Linked DNA regions of Saccharomyces cerevisiae S288C. Changing the gene in region 4 together with the main gene of any one other region gives a genetic interaction. Each region holds a gene or a part of one and is shown on either strand. Other genes may lie near its edges.

Region 1 (3,239 bases), on a different chromosome or scaffold from region 4:
TTCTGTTGAAAGAGTCAAAGAATATATGGAAATTGAGCAAGAGCCATACAACGAACACAAAGAAATACCGCCACCACAATGGCCACAAGACGGTAAAATCGAGGTTAATGATTTATCATTACGGTATGCTCCAAATCTACCTAGAGTAATTAAAAATGTTTCATTTTCTGTCGACGCTCAGTCTAAGATCGGTATTGTTGGTAGAACCGGTGCCGGTAAATCAACTATTATTACCGCCTTGTTCAGATTTTTGGAACCTGAGACAGGCCATATCAAAATTGATAATATCGATATTTCCGGTGTTGATTTACAAAGACTGCGTCGTTCTATAACTATTATTCCACAAGATCCAACACTATTCTCAGGGACGATTAAAACAAACCTAGACCCATATGATGAATTTAGTGACAGACAGATCTTTGAAGCTTTGAAACGTGTAAATCTAATTAGTGAAGAACAATTACAACAAGGCGCCACAAGAGAAACAAGCAATGAGGCTTCGTCGACTAACTCCGAAAATGTTAATAAATTCTTGGATTTAAGTAGTGAAATTAGCGAAGGTGGATCCAATTTGTCTCAAGGACAGCGCCAATTGATGTGCCTTGCTAGATCTTTACTGAGGAGTCCAAAGATCATATTGCTGGACGAAGCTACAGCGTCCATCGACTACAGTTCCGATGCGAAGATCCAAGAAACCATAAGAAAAGAGTTCCAAGGTAGTACAATTTTGACAATTGCACATAGGTTGAGATCTGTTATCGATTATGATAAAATTTTGGTGATGGATGCAGGTGAGGTAAAAGAGTATGATCACCCATATTCTTTGTTACTTAACAAACAAAGTGCCTTTTATAGCATGTGTGAGCATAGTGGAGAATTGGATATCCTAATTGAATTGGCTAAAAAAGCCTTTGTGGAAAAATTGAACTCTAAAAAGGACTAGCTGTTTCGATGCTAAAGTATATATATATATATATATATATATATATATATATATATGTATATACGCACACATGTTCACGTACTATAAATTACCTTTTGTAAATTCAACAGCCTCTTTTTCTGGAACTGGAAGAATCCGTTAACTTCAATATTCCAGTCGATGAAACGGTTTAGAATTGCAATTGACCTCAAAATCATTATGTTGCAGTTATCCACCAACTCGGGTAACTTCTTCAACTGTTTCGTTTCAATATTTGCGTCTTTGAAGGAAATCTGATCCAATGAACTTTTACTGATTTGGCAAAACTCCATATATTGGCTGTTTAGTTCGTCAAATGCACTATATAATGTATAAATATCGTCAAAGCAACTAGCAAAAATACAAATATCATCAGGAGCTCCCACGTTCTCGATGTCTTCAGCCATGAAAGTATTAAAGAGTTGCAGGAGATCTTGAGAATACTTTAGACCCTGGAAATATAGACGATGTAACTGATTGTATAGTTCATCTAATTGCACTGAAACATCGGAATTCGCGCTGTATCCGGCGCCTATAAGCCGCTCCAATCGGTCACACCTGTATTCTAAAGCTTCAACAAGCTTAAGACCAGGCATCAAACTTCCTTTGGTAGAGGCTAATGGCCTTGGAAGCTCGAGAGAACATTCTATAAGTTCATCAATCACTTATACTATATGCAGTACCTCTAAATTACCTAATATCCGGGTAATAAGAACAATATTCGGGTGACGCCGCCCCTGTTTGATGACAAAATTGGAAGAAAAAGAGGAAACAAGAAAAGACTGGTTAGCAACTACGTAAACTTCAGATTTCAAAACATACATAAACAAAAAACTAACAAAAGAAGATGTCTAGATCTGGGTATGCTAAATTTCATTTGTACTCCTGTGTAAACTATCAATTACTAACTAATTGACATGATGCTGTTTTATCTCGCTCTCTTATGTCCTTTCTTTCCTCCCTTTTTAACATGGAACTTTAAAAGGAATGTGGGGGAAAAAATTCATAAGAAGCCAGGAAAATGTGAAGTTTCTGTGTAGTGTTGCTGTTGCTGATGAATCCCTTACCGCTTTCAATGACTTGAAATTGGGTAAAAAATACAAATTTATTTTATTCGGATTGAACGATGCTAAAACCGAAATCGTTGTCAAGGAAACCTCTACTGACCCATCTTACGATGCCTTCTTAGAGAAATTGCCAGAAAACGACTGTCTTTACGCCATTTACGATTTTGAATACGAAATTAATGGTAATGAAGGTAAGAGATCCAAGATTGTTTTCTTCACTTGGTCTCCAGACACTGCTCCAGTCAGATCTAAGATGGTCTATGCATCCTCCAAGGATGCCTTAAGAAGAGCCTTAAACGGTGTCTCTACCGATGTTCAAGGTACTGATTTTTCCGAAGTTTCTTACGATTCTGTTTTGGAAAGAGTCAGCAGAGGCGCTGGTTCTCATTAAGGTAAATGATTTCACAAATGACAACAATCTTCAAGAAAAATGAAAATGTATATCTATATATAAAATCGTCATATATATACAGAATACATGTATAGAATTATTATAATTATAATTTTCTCTTCGCAACTCTATCTAAAACACAATACTTAGATTTAAGGTCCCGTACACCCCGGCTAGTGGGCATTGTTTTTGCACCCATATTTGTAATTCTAAATTCAGAACGGAAATACTGGCCATGTAGATCAAGAAAAGATACAAGGTCATCGAACCAGGCAGCAATGATTTTTCTATAATCTTCTAAAGTGAAGCATGACGACCATAGCTCGTTGAATATGCATAGAACGCTTCTGTTTTTAACGTGGCTGATATCTTTAACAAAGGCTTTTAATATAAAATTACCACACACTGAAAAAAAAGACCATTTGGAATCCAACGCTGTGCTGGCATGCGCATCCTATATAAATACTCTGAAGTGGTCATTTGATAGCTCCGTCGTACCGGGTTTCTATTCTACCATATGCTCTTATTCACCAGCGTTTGATACTTGGTCACTTTGTATCTTCAATTCGCTTACAGACCAGATTATTCCCATGGACAACACAAGTTTCGAAGAAAGCTTGGGTAACGTACGAAAAACGTGCTCGTTTGTCGATAAAAAGTTTAGCAATATTTCACTGGAGCAATACTACTCATCTTTAAATAATGCTTCTTCTCACGCTTTGGAAGACTATGGTTCTATTGAAAGTTTATCGACATCCATTCGAGTCGATCGTGAGACAAGATCTAGATGGATACGAGCTTTTCATGCGCATGCCTATAA
Region 2 (5,750 bases), on a different chromosome or scaffold from region 4:
ATATTATGCAATTATGAAGAAAAGTACTCAAAGGGTCGGAAAAATATTCAAACGATATTTGCATAAAATCCTCAATTGATTGATTATTCCATAGTAAAATACCGTAACAACACAAAATTGTTCTCAAATTCATAAATTATTCATTTTTTCCACGAGCCTCATCACACGAAAAGTCAGAAGAGCATACATAATCTTTTAAATGCATAGGTTATGCATTTTGCAAATGCCACCAGGCAACAAAAATATGCGTTTAGCGGGCGGAATCGGGAAGGAAGCCGGAACCACCAAAAACTGGAAGCTACGTTTTTAAGGAAGGTATGGGTGCAGTGTGCTTATCTCAAGAAATATTAGTTATGATATAAGGTGTTGAAGTTTAGAGATAGGTAAATAAACGCGGGGTGTGTTTATTACATGAAGAAGAAGTTAGTTTCTGCCTTGCTTGTTTATCTTGCACATCACATCAGCGGAACATATGCTCACCCAGTCGCATGTTGTTACCCTCATGAAACATGTATGAGATATTACTTTGAATAGGTTACTTGCATGCATTTCGGCGTGCGGGTACCACCTCTTTGCATGAGCTTGTTCCTTTTTCAAGTTGAAGACTATATATTTTATTGAGTTTATGTTATGGGGAGGCTACCCTTTACGTCCTGGTTGTCCCTTCCCGCCTTGATTTGGCCTTCATTTTTTCAATTCTGGCCTTTAGGGTAGATGTCACTGCAGCGGCACGTTTATAACTTTCTTCTGAGGCAAAACTATCGTTGAAATCGATATCCAAATCGTCGGAGACACTGCTCACTCCAGTGCCGTTTTTTCTGTACGGCCGTATGTTAAGAGAGTTTACGCGGTGCGGCAGGTCGCCGATGGACTCGCTTGATCTTCTTTCATAGTTGACGTCCTCTTTCCTTCTGACATCTTCCTCCTCCTTAAATGGCAAAGCGGAAGATAAAGATTTTACCCCATAGTTGCTTGACACGGTGGAAGAAGGTATGGAGTATGATGAAATCGTACCCATCGATTGCAAGTTTGTATCATTTCTTTTCTTATTTCTATCCAATTCGATCTCCATGTTTCTAAGCTCGTTTTCTAGTGACAGTACTCTATCAGACAGCTTATTGACATCAATCTCCTTGGATCTTAATTGAATGTTCTTTTCGTTCAATTTAGACTGCGCTTCCTTTAGTTGCTCTCTTAGCATTTCGTTTTCTTTAATCATTTCGATCTTATAATTTTCTGTATTATTCATCTTTTCCAATAGGCTTTGTCTTTCTTTGGTCCATATCATCTCATCATTTTGTAGTTTTTGCAGTCTGTACTTGTATTCTTCAATCAACTTTTCATTCTTGTCAGTGCTATTAGCTACTACGTTTTTTGGCGTTGCCAAAGACTTAGACGTCAACAGGACCCTCGATTTATTGTTAGCAGCTACCATTGATGGTTTTGATGCGGAGGCTACTGACCCTATTGGGTTCACTTTACTTTTGTTATCATTTCTCAGCGGTGAAGATGCCACTCTCTTGGAGGGAAGTACAGAACTTTTTTTCAGGAGAAATTTATTCTCCATTGGCCCAGTTTGTTTATTCGTTTCAATAGTGCTATGGGTACTACCACTTGCAATACTGAAATTAGGTAGAGTTTTGACCGTTTCTTCAATTTTTTTCCTTTTCAAATTATCCAAGTGCTCTAATGTTTTCACAAAGGTATTCATGCCAAATATTTTAATTAGAATGGCGAAACTCTCAAATCCAATAGTTCTTATAGCAGGTTGGGTGTCGTTGACGATCTGAATCACAATTGGTACCACTTCATCCTTCAAGTATCTTTGCAGGGTCGAGTATCCATCTTTTTCTTCTTTCATGCTTGCATTAAACAATTGCGTACACTCCATTCTGATTTGAGGTGTCTTGTGCTTCATATGCTCCAAAATATCTTTCAACATATCTTCATTGCGTCCACTGGAGGCTAATGGATCGTAATACTTGCAGATGGTTAATAATGCCTTCCTAATGGCCTCTATCACAGAAGGTTTCTTTTCCTTTGTCCTGTCTAACAAGGGAGTGAAGACTAGTGAAACATAATCCTTGGAAAAGCCTGGTGTTTTTAGTTTGTCGCAGATTAATTCTACTGATTGAGCGGCTAGTGCAACAGCTTGAATGTTTGCATCTTTCTGGATAATATGGCCATATATCCCCAATAAGTTGGAATAATTTTGCGAGGTGCTTTTTAACTTCTTAGTCTGCGATAGAACACTATCCCAAAATTCTTCCAGCGCTTCCACTCTATCTTTCCATTTGGACGACGTTATCCTTTCCTGGAAGTCCTTAGGCAGTTTATCGAGGATCGTCTCCTCCGGTAGCATACTGAAGGTGTCTATTTGAACTCCACTTTGCTGTTTTGATGGTGGCATATCCGTTTCCATCCCCATCAATGTATCTCCATCCTTATCTATCTGATATTCCCCCTCATCATTCGATAATATGGACTTTCTTTTCCTGGCTTCCTCCTCTTGGCTTCTTTTCTTTTCCAATTCTCTTTTCTCCCACTCGAATAACATTTTCGATGACGATGGCTCGTCACCAACTTTTGCAAACAATTTATGAAGATCTTTCACTTGAATTGGTTTTAATTTTTTAAACAGTATCTCCTCTAACAAGTCGCTATTGTTGCCCGTAACCTTATAGATCTCGACAATCAAATTCATCGTTTGTGATCGAACGTTTCTATCACCATGACCGGCTAGTTGAGGTACGTGCTTTAATAATTCTGGTAGAAACGTTTGAACGTTCACATTAGTGAGCCCGAATGCAGCCATCAACTCATAAACACAATTGGCTGCCGCAGCAATTAATTTTGGCAGTTTTTTCTCGAAAAAGGGTATTACCAATTCCACCGATTGCGTAATAGATGTATCAAGACCACATAGTGAGAGTATACAGCTCATCGACTGCGTCTTCGTTGTAGCCCTTGAGGACGTTAAGCCCTTTTCCACAAGCAATGGTGTCCATGTTGATATTAAAGTAATATTATGTGCATTTTTCAAAGACGATGACGCAAAGGCATCTATTAAACTATTCAAGGCAACAATGGCTTGTTCTTGAGCGACCACATTAGAATCAGTTATATATTGTGCAAATAATGTAGGATCCCTCCAGTAAATTTGTATGTTGTCATCCCTACTGATGTCGCCAACGGAGTTTCTAAAAAGCTGGTTTAACTCCTTATAAGCTTCTAAACGTGCCTTCCATAACTTGTACGTTAATCGCTCTTCTAGGGGTAACGTTGTATAATCTACTTCTTCTTCTCCTGACATAGTCAACTTCAAACTCTTTAATAAAAACTCAAAAATACTTTACACTGTAAAGATAGCTGTTTCTTTGTAGTTTAGTAATGCTATTTGGTCCCTAGGTCTGGTAGGTTCTTCATTTACTCTTCCTATGGAGTGTCAAGCAGACAAAACAAAAACAAAAACAAAAACAAAAACGACACGAAAAAAAATAGATTCGTTAACCATGATAATCTTTGCACCATATAAAGGAAAAGACAAGATTGACTTCTAATGCCCAGCACAAATATTATCCAACTATTTAATTAATAAATTTTTGACTACTTAATCTTCAGACACAGATTCCTTGTCTAATAATTTGTTTAATTGAATATTGACAGATTTATCCTGCAGCTTGAACAAATTTCTTGCGCGAAAGGTTGCTAGGAAAATCAAAGGTAGTAAAAACATTAGAACTGTATCGAAAACGTAAAGGCACCATTCGTGCTGACCTATATAGCTTTGTAAGCCCATTAGAAATTGTACTACTCTGACAATGGTTCTACCATTAACCAGCAATATCCCAGCTAAAAGTATAAAATTGTACTGGAACCATTCATTACTATCCCGCACAATTTTACTAGGCGTTGCCTTCATTTTATAGTGAAGAAAAAGTTGACTGAACGTTAAAAAGGTATAACAAAATATCTGAATGAAAAGACCCACAATAATTAGGATACGCCCAGTATTCCTGCTGTTCCATGAGGATAACAACCCACCTCCTACAGCCTGTAGGACACGCCCAATCATATCTGCCACTACGAAAGAAACTGTACTAAATTTCGCAGGAATTAACATATATGCCTCCATAAGAATTAGACGTGCCATTTTGCTGAACAACATAAAAATACTAAGGGCGTAAAGTGAAGGTGCTATCAATAGAAGCACCGATTGAGCAATGAAAGTCGAAATCGAGGGGCTATTGATAAAGACTATTTTCAACACATAACCCACGAACTCTAAACAAATCCCTAAAACGAAAGGAAAATGTGTCCACATCAAACCGCGGGCAGGAAAGTATATTATTGTGGAATTTTCCTCTGACAACTCATTGTTTTCCCAGCGATGAATACGTCTCTTGCTCGTGTGTGTTGCCATTATGATCTGCACCAAGGCAGAAAGGATTAAAATGCCAAACAGAACGACAAATGCAATCGCTGCACCTTTGTGAGGATTGTATGCATAAAAACCTTCATAATCAGTGATTGCTTTAGTAAAAAAATTCCTATTGAGGCAGTTGAGTTCTTTTATCGACAATAAGTCTCTAGTACAGTAGTGAGAGTGTCATGTATTCAGTACCAAGAAGAACTTATATGCCTTTTATAATTCATCTTATAAGTTGCTAGACATACAAATAATCAATATGGAAATGTGCTTATTCCCGCTAATATCCATTAATATCCGCTGTCATTTTTCGCAACTATCACCAAGTGGAGAGAGGCTTGACAACCACCAGAAAAAAACTAAATCAGCCTGCGGAACTTTTCTCGGAAAAAATCAGTTAGAAAAGATCGTACATAGGGCCCTTTTTTGACAGTAAGATTAAAGAGCAAAACGGGACATTATAGATATGCCACCATCAAATACGTGAATTTTCCAAGCCTCATAAACTAATAGCCAACTTGCAACTCTTATAATGCAAAACTTTCTCCGTGAAAGTGTAAACCACCATCTGTCGCCCATCTTTTGGTGCTTTCAATTAAGCCTCTAGGGCCTGCAGCGAGAACCCATACTTGTGACAAATATTCAGCATGGTCTCTGCCTTGATTCGCCCACCTGCAACATTGAATAGAATCCGTCTCTGCATCACATTCGGTTTGCAGACACCATTCATAATCCTTATCTCCAAGTGTAGGCCTGCCAAAGAACACTTTAACACCTGCGGGAATTCTGATCTTTTTAGGCGCCGCCTCTAAACAAGGATCTTGGGCAGGTGGCTCAATGATCTTTGGTTGTCTGAAAACGCTCGATCCGTTAAACGAAGAATGTGTAGTTAGAGTTCCTTGTGCAGTATTTTTCCTTGATTTGGATCTGCTAAAAGCATATGTAAAATCTATCTCGTCATCAGCATTGATGTCAGGTATATCACTTGTTTTTGGTGGGTGATGGTTTCTCAAGGTAGATTTCTTACTTAGAAGGGCTGTGTTCTCATTGGGCTCCGTAGGTTGGGGATTTCCATCTGATAACATGGAATTATCTCCCAGTTCTGAAACTCGGCCGCTCGAAGAAATACTCCTGACTTCATCATTAATATCAGCAGCGCAGTCATGATAGTCAATATAATCAATTTCTATGTCCTGTTCGTTGCCTTCGGTGCCACTAATATATATCTCCATACCTTCAAAATTGTTTTTGAAGTGGTTCAATACTTCCAGATCCTTATAATCTCTAGAAACCCAAAGGAGCCTAACGTTTACACCGTTGA
Region 3 (4,541 bases), on a different chromosome or scaffold from region 4:
TTATGGGCCTTATCATTGGCACATGCTCAATTGTCTAGTGTTTTATGGACAATGACAATTCAAATTGCCTTTGGATTTAGAGGATTTGTGGGTGTGTTTATGACGGTTGCACTTTTTGCCATGTGGTTCGCACTAACATGTGCAGTTCTTGTTTTGATGGAAGGTACATCTGCCATGCTTCATTCCTTACGTTTGCACTGGGTTGAATCTATGTCCAAGTTTTTCGTGGGTGAAGGTTTACCATACGAACCATTCGCATTTGAGTATAAAGACATGGAAGTCGCTGTTGCTAGTGCAAGCTCTTCCGCTTCAAGCTAAATTTTGAGGACTTTTAAAAAAAGCGAAACATTTAAGTACTTCATTAAATAATAAATGATGCTACTATATAGTGAGTAAACCTTATTATATACTATCAATGCTAATTCAATAAAGTATTTAAAGTATCAACCAATGCTTAAAAAGAGTCAAAAAAAAGGGAAAAAGAAATAGGAAAGCCAAACTTATCTCATGAAAACGTTAGACTTGCAATCCAATCCACCAGTGACCATCATTTGCCTTGGGGTAACGTTAGAATCGAAATCCACATCCAGGTCTAAACAGTTGACAAATCCTGTATGCAACTTTTCCCAAACGTGTAAGCACTGCCCCGTGTTCAGATCCCAACATCTGACAGATTTATCATCAGCACAAGAAAACAAGTATTGGCCTCGAATACTAATATCTCTAACCCACGAAAGATGCCCCTTCAACGTAAGAACACATCTGAAATTTGAATCTGTAGGATTCGGTATGGGTGCTCTATGGGCCATTAACGTAGGTAGAGGTATCTCCCAGATTTTTATCGTTCTATCTCTTGACGCTGAGACACAATATTGCATCCCCCAATTCTTATATCGATCCGTTGATGGTGTTCTAAACCTTATCTCCGGAGAGTCTTCGATGAAATGAATAAATTTAACTTTCTCTATGGGAAATTCATGACCCGTGCCAACACTAAGACCATTACCTGATGGCCAATGTGTTAACCTTAATGTAGTGTCATGTGAACCAGAGATGATGTAATCGCCTAGAACGTCTATGGAACGAACCCATTGGGAATGAGGCTGAAATGTTTTCAACGACCAACCATTGTGGAAGTCCCAAATTTTAACAGTTTGATCTCTGGAACAGGACGCTATATGGACATCATTATTTTTCTGCCAGATTTTTACCGCAGAGACAATATGCTCATGGCCCAATAAAGACCTAATTTGTTGGAACTTGCATTCCTCGGAGACCCACTTGAAAACATGAATCTGCAAATCTTTAGACGCGGTAACGATCACCAAATAGTTCTTCTTGCTGGAGTTCGTATAATTGGTAAATAAAACATCCATGGAGGTAATTGCCTTGGTATGACTTTGCAAGGATGCCAGAGGGATGGTGTAGTTAAATAAATCAAATGCGTATAATTTGCCATGATCTGTGGCCACAAACACTATAGGCAAATTGGGATGTAGTTTGACGGAAGTGACAGATGATTCAACATTAATTAAACAGCTTGGTAGATTTCTCGGTATCCATTTCAAAACATTATGTGCGCTGGTGCCGTTACTGGTGGTAGGTTTGAATTGTGCTAGTTCTGACACTTGAGTGTTCAAATCTTTAATCTGAGATACAAGGGTCTCTGTATTCTGCTCCAATTCAATGATTTTTTTTTGTAGTCTAACAATTGAGTTCCACTTCTTCGGTAGCAGTAATTCATCAATGTCTACCATACTTTCGTTACTGGTGTCATTGTTACTGATGAATTCTTGCCGGTCCACTGATTCTTGCAACAGAAAACCTGATAGAGTTACAATTGCATGTCGAACACTTTCGTAATCTTGAGCATGCTCATGTCGTACAGTTTGTTTGTAATTCCAATTCAAATATCGGAGGACACTTTTATCGAGTTCATTTTTCTGTGTATCTGTTAAAGGAAGCTGTTGCTGCCAGTTAGTCATTTCTATTTTTTTCTACACTTACGCACGCACAGGTGTATACCAACAACCGGACGACGAACCTAGCTGCTTTATCAATGGCTATCTGGGCGACGATGGCCCAATACTAAGATTACCTATTACGTTTACACTCGCCAAAAATAAGAAACAAGTGCAATATGCACGACTTGCAAGCTGAAAATATTTCAAAACACCCACATCCCACAGCACAAAACCAGTGCAAATTCCATAAAGGGAAGTGAATTAAATTCAATGGTAGATGAAAGCACTTTTTCAGGAACCGTTTTAAGATCTAATTGTAGTTTACCAAGATATACTAAAACGTCGTTACTCGTTTTATTTACCTACCATTAGCTAACCGTTGCCATGGCTACCGTCCGGGTCGCCAGCGGCTGCTACTGCAAAAGTTGACAACGAAAAAGAGAAAAAAAAAATTCTCGGCACGCAAGACCTGAATGGTTTTTGTTTTCCCCTTCCCATTTTTTTCTTATGGTTTTTCCAGTTTTCTAGAAGCCGGAAAAAAGGCAAGCTACAAAATGTACTACGCGGAGCCAGAATTAAAAACCACGCGGACGGGACGGGCCGTGGCTTGTGACGCCGGATCCCCGCGTATAATCCGTGTCACGCTAAAGGACAAAATCGGTTTATCCGAGCGGTTTACGGGAAGGGTCTTTTGCTATCTCGCAGTAGCGTGTGCCTGGTTATCCCAATACTACCACCACACCTGTGCTTTTTTTATCTTGTACGTGCATGTATGCGTATGTTTTCTTTTTTTCCGTTGGTGCTTATTCGCTACCGTCTCGTTGATCCATGAATCACAAACACAAGCCGGTTCTGCTTACTATACAAAATAGTCTTGTGTCTTGATTCATATATCCGTCAATAACGTAGCCTTTCTTTATTTTCCTTTCGCTCACCATACTCTTGCATTAGTGTATTTTGTCTTTTATATCGCCAATAAGTGCCCAACTCTTCTACCTGACCCCTACGTCGTCGCCGCCCCTTTTCTTTTTCTTCGCCTAGTTCTATTTGGCTATATATTTCAGAGTGACAAATCTTTAAGAGAGACAAACTGAGAATTAGCATATAGAATCATTCATACAACTGTTTACAAACAAGTAAGCCCAAGACAGTTCCCAACCGCTTAAAGAAGTTTTTCCTAGAGGGAGCAAAGTTCGTTTACATTTCACACACACAGTTTTTTTTCACTTTTTTGGGCCTCTTCCTTTTCCCGTTTTTTTCAAAAAGCTTAGAAATCTTCTTCACCTCCTATTTTTCTAGAATCGTGAAGAATTTCCAGATTTAACAGTTTTCCACTTTTTCAATAAGGAAATAGTAGGAATAATAAAAAAAGGATAGTAGTAACGATATACGTCGACTTTCCAGACTGGTCTCGAGCCGGAATTAAATACAATAGCAGCGTTTGACTACCACATTGTAGCTCCGCTAGAATTGATCGAAAACAAAAATAATAACACTAATAATTATAATAATACGGTAGAACTATTTCTCGTATAAAGATGCCTAATCTATTGTCGAGAAACCCATTCCATGGTCATCATAATGACCATCATCATGACCGTGAAAATTCGTCTAATAACCCGCCACAGTTGATCAGAAGTTCTAAATCTTTCTTAAACTTCATTGGTAGAAAACAAAGTAATGACTCACTAAGAAGCGAGAAATCTACAGATTCCATGAAATCTACCACAACCACTACAAATTATACTACAACAAACCTTAATAACAACACCCATAGCCATTCTAATGCAACCAGTATCTCAACAAACAACTACAATAATAACTATGAAACAAACCACCACCATAATATTTCTCATGGGCTCCATGACTATACTTCTCCCGCCTCTCCAAAACAAACCCACTCCATGGCAGAATTGAAAAGGTTTTTCAGACCTTCTGTAAATAAAAAACTATCTATGTCTCAACTTCGTTCCAAGAAACATAGCACCCATTCCCCCCCACCTTCAAAATCAACTTCTACAGTTAATTTAAATAATCACTATCGTGCCCAGCATCCTCATGGCTTTACAGACCACTATGCTCATACCCAGTCTGCTATACCGCCAAGTACCGATTCTATCCTATCTTTGTCCAATAATATTAATATATATCACGATGATTGTATTCTGGCTCAAAAATACGGGAAATTGGGTAAGTTATTGGGTTCCGGTGCCGGTGGGTCCGTTAAAGTTCTTGTGAGACCAACTGATGGTGCTACTTTTGCCGTCAAAGAATTCAGACCAAGGAAACCGAATGAGAGTGTGAAAGAATATGCCAAGAAGTGCACCGCAGAATTTTGTATTGGTTCGACTTTACATCACCCAAATGTTATCGAAACTGTTGACGTTTTCTCTGATTCTAAACAAAATAAATACTATGAAGTTATGGAGTACTGTCCGATTGATTTTTTTGCTGTTGTTATGACAGGCAAGATGTCTCGTGGCGAGATCAACTGTTGCTTGAAGCAATTGACTGAAGGTGTTAAATATTTACATTCTATGGGATTGGCACATAGAGATTTGAAATTGGATAATTGTG
Region 4 (5,494 bases):
CAGTGGTCTGGTCATCAGTACTATAGTTCGCGTTGAAGGCAACAAAGGCATTTTCCATGATAAATTTTGACATTATAGAAATATCGTAGTCCAAGTTCTCACTGACGCCCCCATTTACTTGGTTAGATTGTTGTGGTTGTTGTTGTCCATCCCGAATCATTTGAACAGGAGGAGGAATAACGTTGCTGTTATTGTTACTAGTGTACATTAGGCCCGGAGGGGGAAGGATAGGTGGTTGCTGGTGCTGTTGAAGTGGTGCAGGAGGAGCATAGTAAGTAGAACTTGGCTGATTGAAGTAACCTAAAGAAGCCATGGATGGCAACTGAGTATGAACTGATTGCGAGGGAACATGACCTAAATATTTAGGCAGTTGCCTAGCAACATTAACAGCAGAAGTAGCCGAACCTTTCGGAAAAGGCAAACTAATTGGATAACCACTAGAATTACCCATCGTTTCAGGATAATACTTGAAAGTATTAGCCATTTCTATATGAAGGGGGGTTTGTTGGGGGGAGGGGGGCTGAAGACGAATTAACTCAATAACTGTCTTAATAATGTTAAAGAAAAAAAAAATTCCTTGTAGTGTATAAGCTAAACGCTAATAAAGCTGGTTTAAATGTGTGAAACGAAGTCTCTTCGAATACTGTAAAATAACCCCACTGAATATACACAAACACACAGAAAAAGGATTAAAGTTAATAAAAAAAAACGACTCGAAGACTTAAAGGCAAACCTTCAAGTAATGCAGTCTCTGTAAAAACAACAGCAAACACAAATTTGCTAAATTTTGCTTAAAAGAGTCTCCTGAGAAACGTTTTCTTTTAATTTGGGTCAATAAAGGAAATTAACCCAGTAAAAGGCTTTAGAGAAAAAAAAAAGGAAGAAAAAACGAGAACGAGAATCTAGTATATGATCCTTGTGCGTTTTTCTTAAAAGATCAATGATTTGTGGTGCTTAGTTTCTTTTAGAATCTCTTAGAAAGTAGGTAATGTGTCTAATGACTAAAAGCAATTATTCACTTTGAACCTTTTCTCGTGCCAAATAAATTCAAAAAAAAGAAATTAAAGAAAAATTTTTCCCGTAACCCGGAATTAATCAACATAAATGCGTTTAATGCTGGCGGAAAGAAGTTATATTCGATAGTTTACGTAGGATATGTATGTTATTTCCTGGCAGTGGCCAGTAGACTTTGATGAGTAAGAAGGGAGGAGCGCATCTTCCTTCTTGGAACCGCTGTAGTCGGAGCGGAGGGGGTCGAGGGCCCCTGCTCATTGAATGTGGTATCTTGCATACTTACGTCCACTTCACTTGCAATGGCGTCTTGATCTTGGTGTAGTTCTGGTTCTAGCTCCGGTTGTGGTTCAATCATAGGGCTGGGACTAAGGTCGGGACTCGTCCACTTTACTTTTTTTTGGGAAAAATTTTGCCGTTGTAGGGTCTCAGCGGGAACAGCCAAGTCAGCTGCCGTCGTGTTTATTATATTTATATTTGTGTTTGTAAAATTGCTATCGGGATTGGCGATAAAAGTTCTGGCAAAAGATTCAAACTCCTCGTCGATATGAACCAGGTCTTGAATTATGGATTCAATGTTAGGTGTCCTATTCATCAGCCACTTTGATAGAAATTTAAATCGGGAGTTCAAACCCGGATCTGACATTAATTTTTCTGTCATTATGGAGGAATTAACCAAGATTTCGTTTCTTTGTAATTCTGATATTTGATTTAAACACGACTCCAAGTACACCAGGTCGTAAGTTTCATCCCAGTCCTCCATCTCTCTTAACTTGTTCAAGTCAATGGAATGTACCTGATGAATGACGGAACTCAGAGTGTCGGTTTCATCAAATTTCATTTCTAACTCGTGTATTTTGTTATAAAGCTGACCACTGATCATTCGGCAATTACTAATCACCGGCTGCATCTCGGCGGCTGTACTTTCCTCCCGTTCAAATAATAGTATCAAATTATCCACTTCTAGCTTGACCATTTGCAAAAACCGCCTTTTACAAAGTATTAATGATTTCAAGGTCTTGGCTACTTGATACGTTTCCACTCCTGCATACGTTTGCTGAACACGATTGACGCACTCGTTAATGGCTAACTGGATCTTTTCTTTGTTTAGTTTGTATTTCGTTAGCTTCAAAGAAATCATCTTCTCTTCACGTTCGCGTAACTCTTCGATTTGTCGCTTTTGTTCCGTAATCATTTTCAAATAAGATCCAACGTGTCTACTCAAAGACTGCTGATTTCTGATTATTTTGGTCTTTATTTCTTTAGCACGATTTGCATATTTCAAAGTATTCAATGTCTCATCATAATGTGAACTGCTGGGCGATATGCAAACAATCATGACTGTTTTGCAATTGCCACCCAGTGAAAATTTCAACAGCCTAGTTAACTTGGAATCCCTGTATGGAATATGACAGCTTCTGCTGCCATCATTCAAGCACAACGCGTTAATGCAATTGCCCAGTGCTAGTAGGGATCTATTTATATTCGCACCTTCGTGTAATCTTATACCACGGTTTCTTGTTGCGGCGGCTCTTTCGCTCCCAGCTAGATCGATTATTGAAAGTGTAGCAAATGTATGTTGCGAGGTCAAGTCTACAAGCTTATTTGTCTGCATGATGTGTATTTGCAGCACTGCATGAGATCGTGAAGATACTTCGTTTGCTTCCGTCGGTGACGTAGTCCTGTTTATGTTTCCCTGGACAACTAAGTCCATCACATCTTCTACCGTATTTGGGTGGTGATACGACAAATTCGCCACTTTGATGTGGTTCTGCGTATCTTCTCTAATGACCAATCTTTTAGATGGTGTCTCTGGTTTCAAAAGGTCTCTGATTCTTTCATTGTATATTTCCAAGTAAGACAGTGAAATCTCGAAGTCTTTTTCGTCCTTCAGGTCTGTAATTTTATTGAATAGTTCCTCCATGGCTAGAAATATGATCCCCGGCTGTGAAGGTGTGCCACTCACAGTATATGTCTTGCCACAACCAGTAGCACCGTAAGCAAATACGGTACTGTTGAATCCATCTAAAACAGAATCTAGGAGCGGGCTGGTGGTCTCTTTGTATACACGGGCTTGGGAAGAGGTTTCATCAAACAATTTATCAAATACAAACTTGATTTCGCCACCGTGCCTTCGACGTTGCGAAGAAAATTTGTTCGTAGCATTGCTGTTATTGATAGAGGACGCAGTGGCCTTAGTGGCCCTTGCACGCATCGAGTTCAGGACCTGATCACTCACTTTGTTCAATGGGTTTCTATCAGCTGGGTCGAATATGAGCATTCTATCATCCACACAATCCACAATTTTACGTATACCCTCCGGTCTAATTACTTTTCTCCTCAGCAAGCTATTTCTTTTGCTCCGCGTAGAACCTTCTTCAGCGTCTATGTCTATATCGGAGTCGGAGTTATTACTCATGGGTAATATTAACGACGAATCCCCCAAACCGGGAAAGTTAGCTTCTGCACCACTAGCTTCATTGACCAATCTTGTTTTTTCCATTGACGTAAAGGGCCTTACTCTTATAGCTACGACTATGGAGGATTGTCTTGTTTCAGGCACGTTCATGTTAGTGTCAATAGTATACAGCTGGAAAGAAAACTCAAGTAGTTAAAGAATGCAATGAAATGATAATCAGATAAACGATGCAATCAGGGAATATGAAAATTTTAATATAAAAAAAAAAAAAGAAAAATCAACAGCTTCGAAACACTGATCTGGACTTTTTTAACCTGCAGATATTTGTTACACGCAGATTATAAATTTTGTCTCTATAGGAACAGCTGAACACTATACTGGATACCGATGTTCTACCGACCAGACGTGAATGTATCTGGTCCTTTTGTATCCAAGGATAAGACAAACCAAACCCATACTAAAGTCATCAAACAAGGCATAATACAGGTAAAATAAACAAAACAAAAACTAAAAACACGGCTAGCTAAGGGAAAAAGTAGTAATGACCTAGGGTGAATAGCTTTTTTCAATTAGGTTTTTCCTTTTTTGTACTATATTAAATAGGGCTAAACTGTTTTAAGCATAGGGCAAAGAACTTATAAATTAGGTTTGAAAAAGGGCCATGAAGCCTTGTAGTAAAAAGAGACCAATTAGAAGAGTCATGGAAGATTCGTAAAACATAGAAACAGTAACAATTATAACAAAAAAAACACAACTGCAAGAAACTTCAGCATCGTCATGTCATTTAGATTCAACGAAGCTGTGTTTGGTGATAACTCTTTCAATGAACGAATACGGGAAAAGTTATCTACGGCTTTGAACTCACCGTCTAAAAAGAAATTAGATATCTTGAAAAGCGGAATTAAGGTACAGAAGGTGGATTTTCCTACAATACCACAGCTAGAAATTCTGGACCTAGACATTATCACGCAGCCCAAGTCTCTGGCCAAGGGGATTTGCAAGATTTCATGTAAGGATGCTATGTTGCGGATACAGACAGTCATAGAGTCGAATCTTTTATTGATTAACGAACAGGATACACCCAGCTTTACCATGCCCCAGCTCATCAATAATGGATCGTTCACAATTCCTATAACTATGACGTTCAGTTCCATCGAGCTAGAAGCCATCACGAATATTTTTGTAAAGAACCCTGGAATTGGGATATCCTTTAATGACGTTGATTTGGATTTTAAGTTTGATTGTTCTGTAAAAATTCTCCAAAGCACCATTGAGAGAAGGCTAAAAGAGTCCATGCATGTAGTGTTCAAGGATGTTCTTCCTTCTTTGATCTTCAACACGTCACAGAACTGGTTCACCAATCGCGGCGAGAGCACCAGTACCATCCCTGGTAAAAGAGAGCATCATCATCAACAAACTACAATGTCTAGGAATGTAATCTTGGACGGATCAGATTTTCAAGAGCTTTCTCCAATAAACATGCTACGTCTTTCAAGCATTGTGTCGTCGAGGTCAACACTGTCACTACATTCCACTGTGATGAATTCTCTTTCCGCTATACCTGGTTGCTTGGAAAGACAAAACTTGTACAGATTTATATCAAGGATGCCCTCTTTAAACAATTACTACTCTTCGCAATCATTTCCACAACCAAAGTCATCAACCGTATCATCAAAACAATTGGTAAAGCCATTCTACTGTTCCCACAATCTATTACCTAAAACAGTGTTAGATTCCAGCCAGTACGATTTGGCTACGATAACCAAGATTCAGTCTCGACTTTTCGATAGGAGTAACAGCAACGACGACAATGCCAAACCAAGGAGAAGAAAGATCAAATGCAAAAAGACCCGCACACCATCGAACCTACAATCACAAGGAGAACAGGCTGTTGATGATAGTACTGCTATTGAAACAGTTACGTCCACACCGGTCCAAACACCGATACCCGAGCTTGAAGAACAATCTCCCCCATATTTGAAAACAACAGTATCGATAAGGGATAAATACGTTATACCAGAAAAAATATCGCTAAATTTGGACTCCAAGAAAGATACATCTAAA

Evidence for each region.
Region 1: mutations in KIP3 (region 4) and LDB18 together harm fitness more than expected from each alone (negative genetic interaction), as found in Saccharomyces cerevisiae (5 studies listed by BioGRID, with this or other methods).
Region 2: of KIP3 (region 4) and STU2, changing one enhances a phenotype caused by changing the other (phenotypic enhancement), as found in Saccharomyces cerevisiae (4 studies listed by BioGRID, with this or other methods).
Region 3: mutations in KIP3 (region 4) and PAC1 together harm fitness more than expected from each alone (negative genetic interaction), as found in Saccharomyces cerevisiae (6 studies listed by BioGRID, with this or other methods).

Annotation. Positions count from the first base shown.
Region 1 is NC_001144.5:38,984-42,222, reverse strand, and holds LDB18 (Ldb18p), read right to left. Parts: upstream 1,558-3,239; coding exon 1,018-1,557; downstream 1-1,017. Other genes in the region: bile acid-transporting ATPase YBT1, read left to right, coding at 1-943; COF1 (cofilin), read left to right, coding at 1,809-1,822, 2,002-2,419; FRE6 (putative ferric-chelate reductase), read left to right, coding at 2,752-3,239. UniProt on the Saccharomyces cerevisiae protein: May be involved in protein-linked oligosaccharide phosphorylation since the deletion reduces the negative charge of the cell surface.
Region 2 is NC_001144.5:234,391-240,140, forward strand, and holds STU2 (Stu2p), read right to left. Parts: upstream 3,314-5,750; coding exon 647-3,313; downstream 1-646. Other genes in the region: YLR046C (uncharacterized protein), read right to left, coding at 3,611-4,423; FRE8 (putative ferric-chelate reductase), read right to left, coding at 4,957-5,750.
Region 3 is NC_001147.6:823,829-828,369, reverse strand, and holds PAC1 (Pac1p), read right to left. Parts: upstream 1,986-4,541; coding exon 501-1,985; downstream 1-500. Other genes in the region: VPH1 (H(+)-transporting V0 sector ATPase subunit a), read left to right, coding at 1-318; YOR268C (uncharacterized protein), read left to right, coding at 2,438-2,836; putative serine/threonine protein kinase HRK1, read left to right, coding at 3,503-4,541.
Region 4 is NC_001139.9:82,971-88,464, reverse strand, and holds KIP3 (tubulin-dependent ATPase KIP3), read right to left. Parts: upstream 3,581-5,494; coding exon 1,163-3,580; downstream 1-1,162. Other genes in the region: CLG1 (Clg1p), read right to left, coding at 1-484; ERMES complex subunit MDM34, read left to right, coding at 4,208-5,494.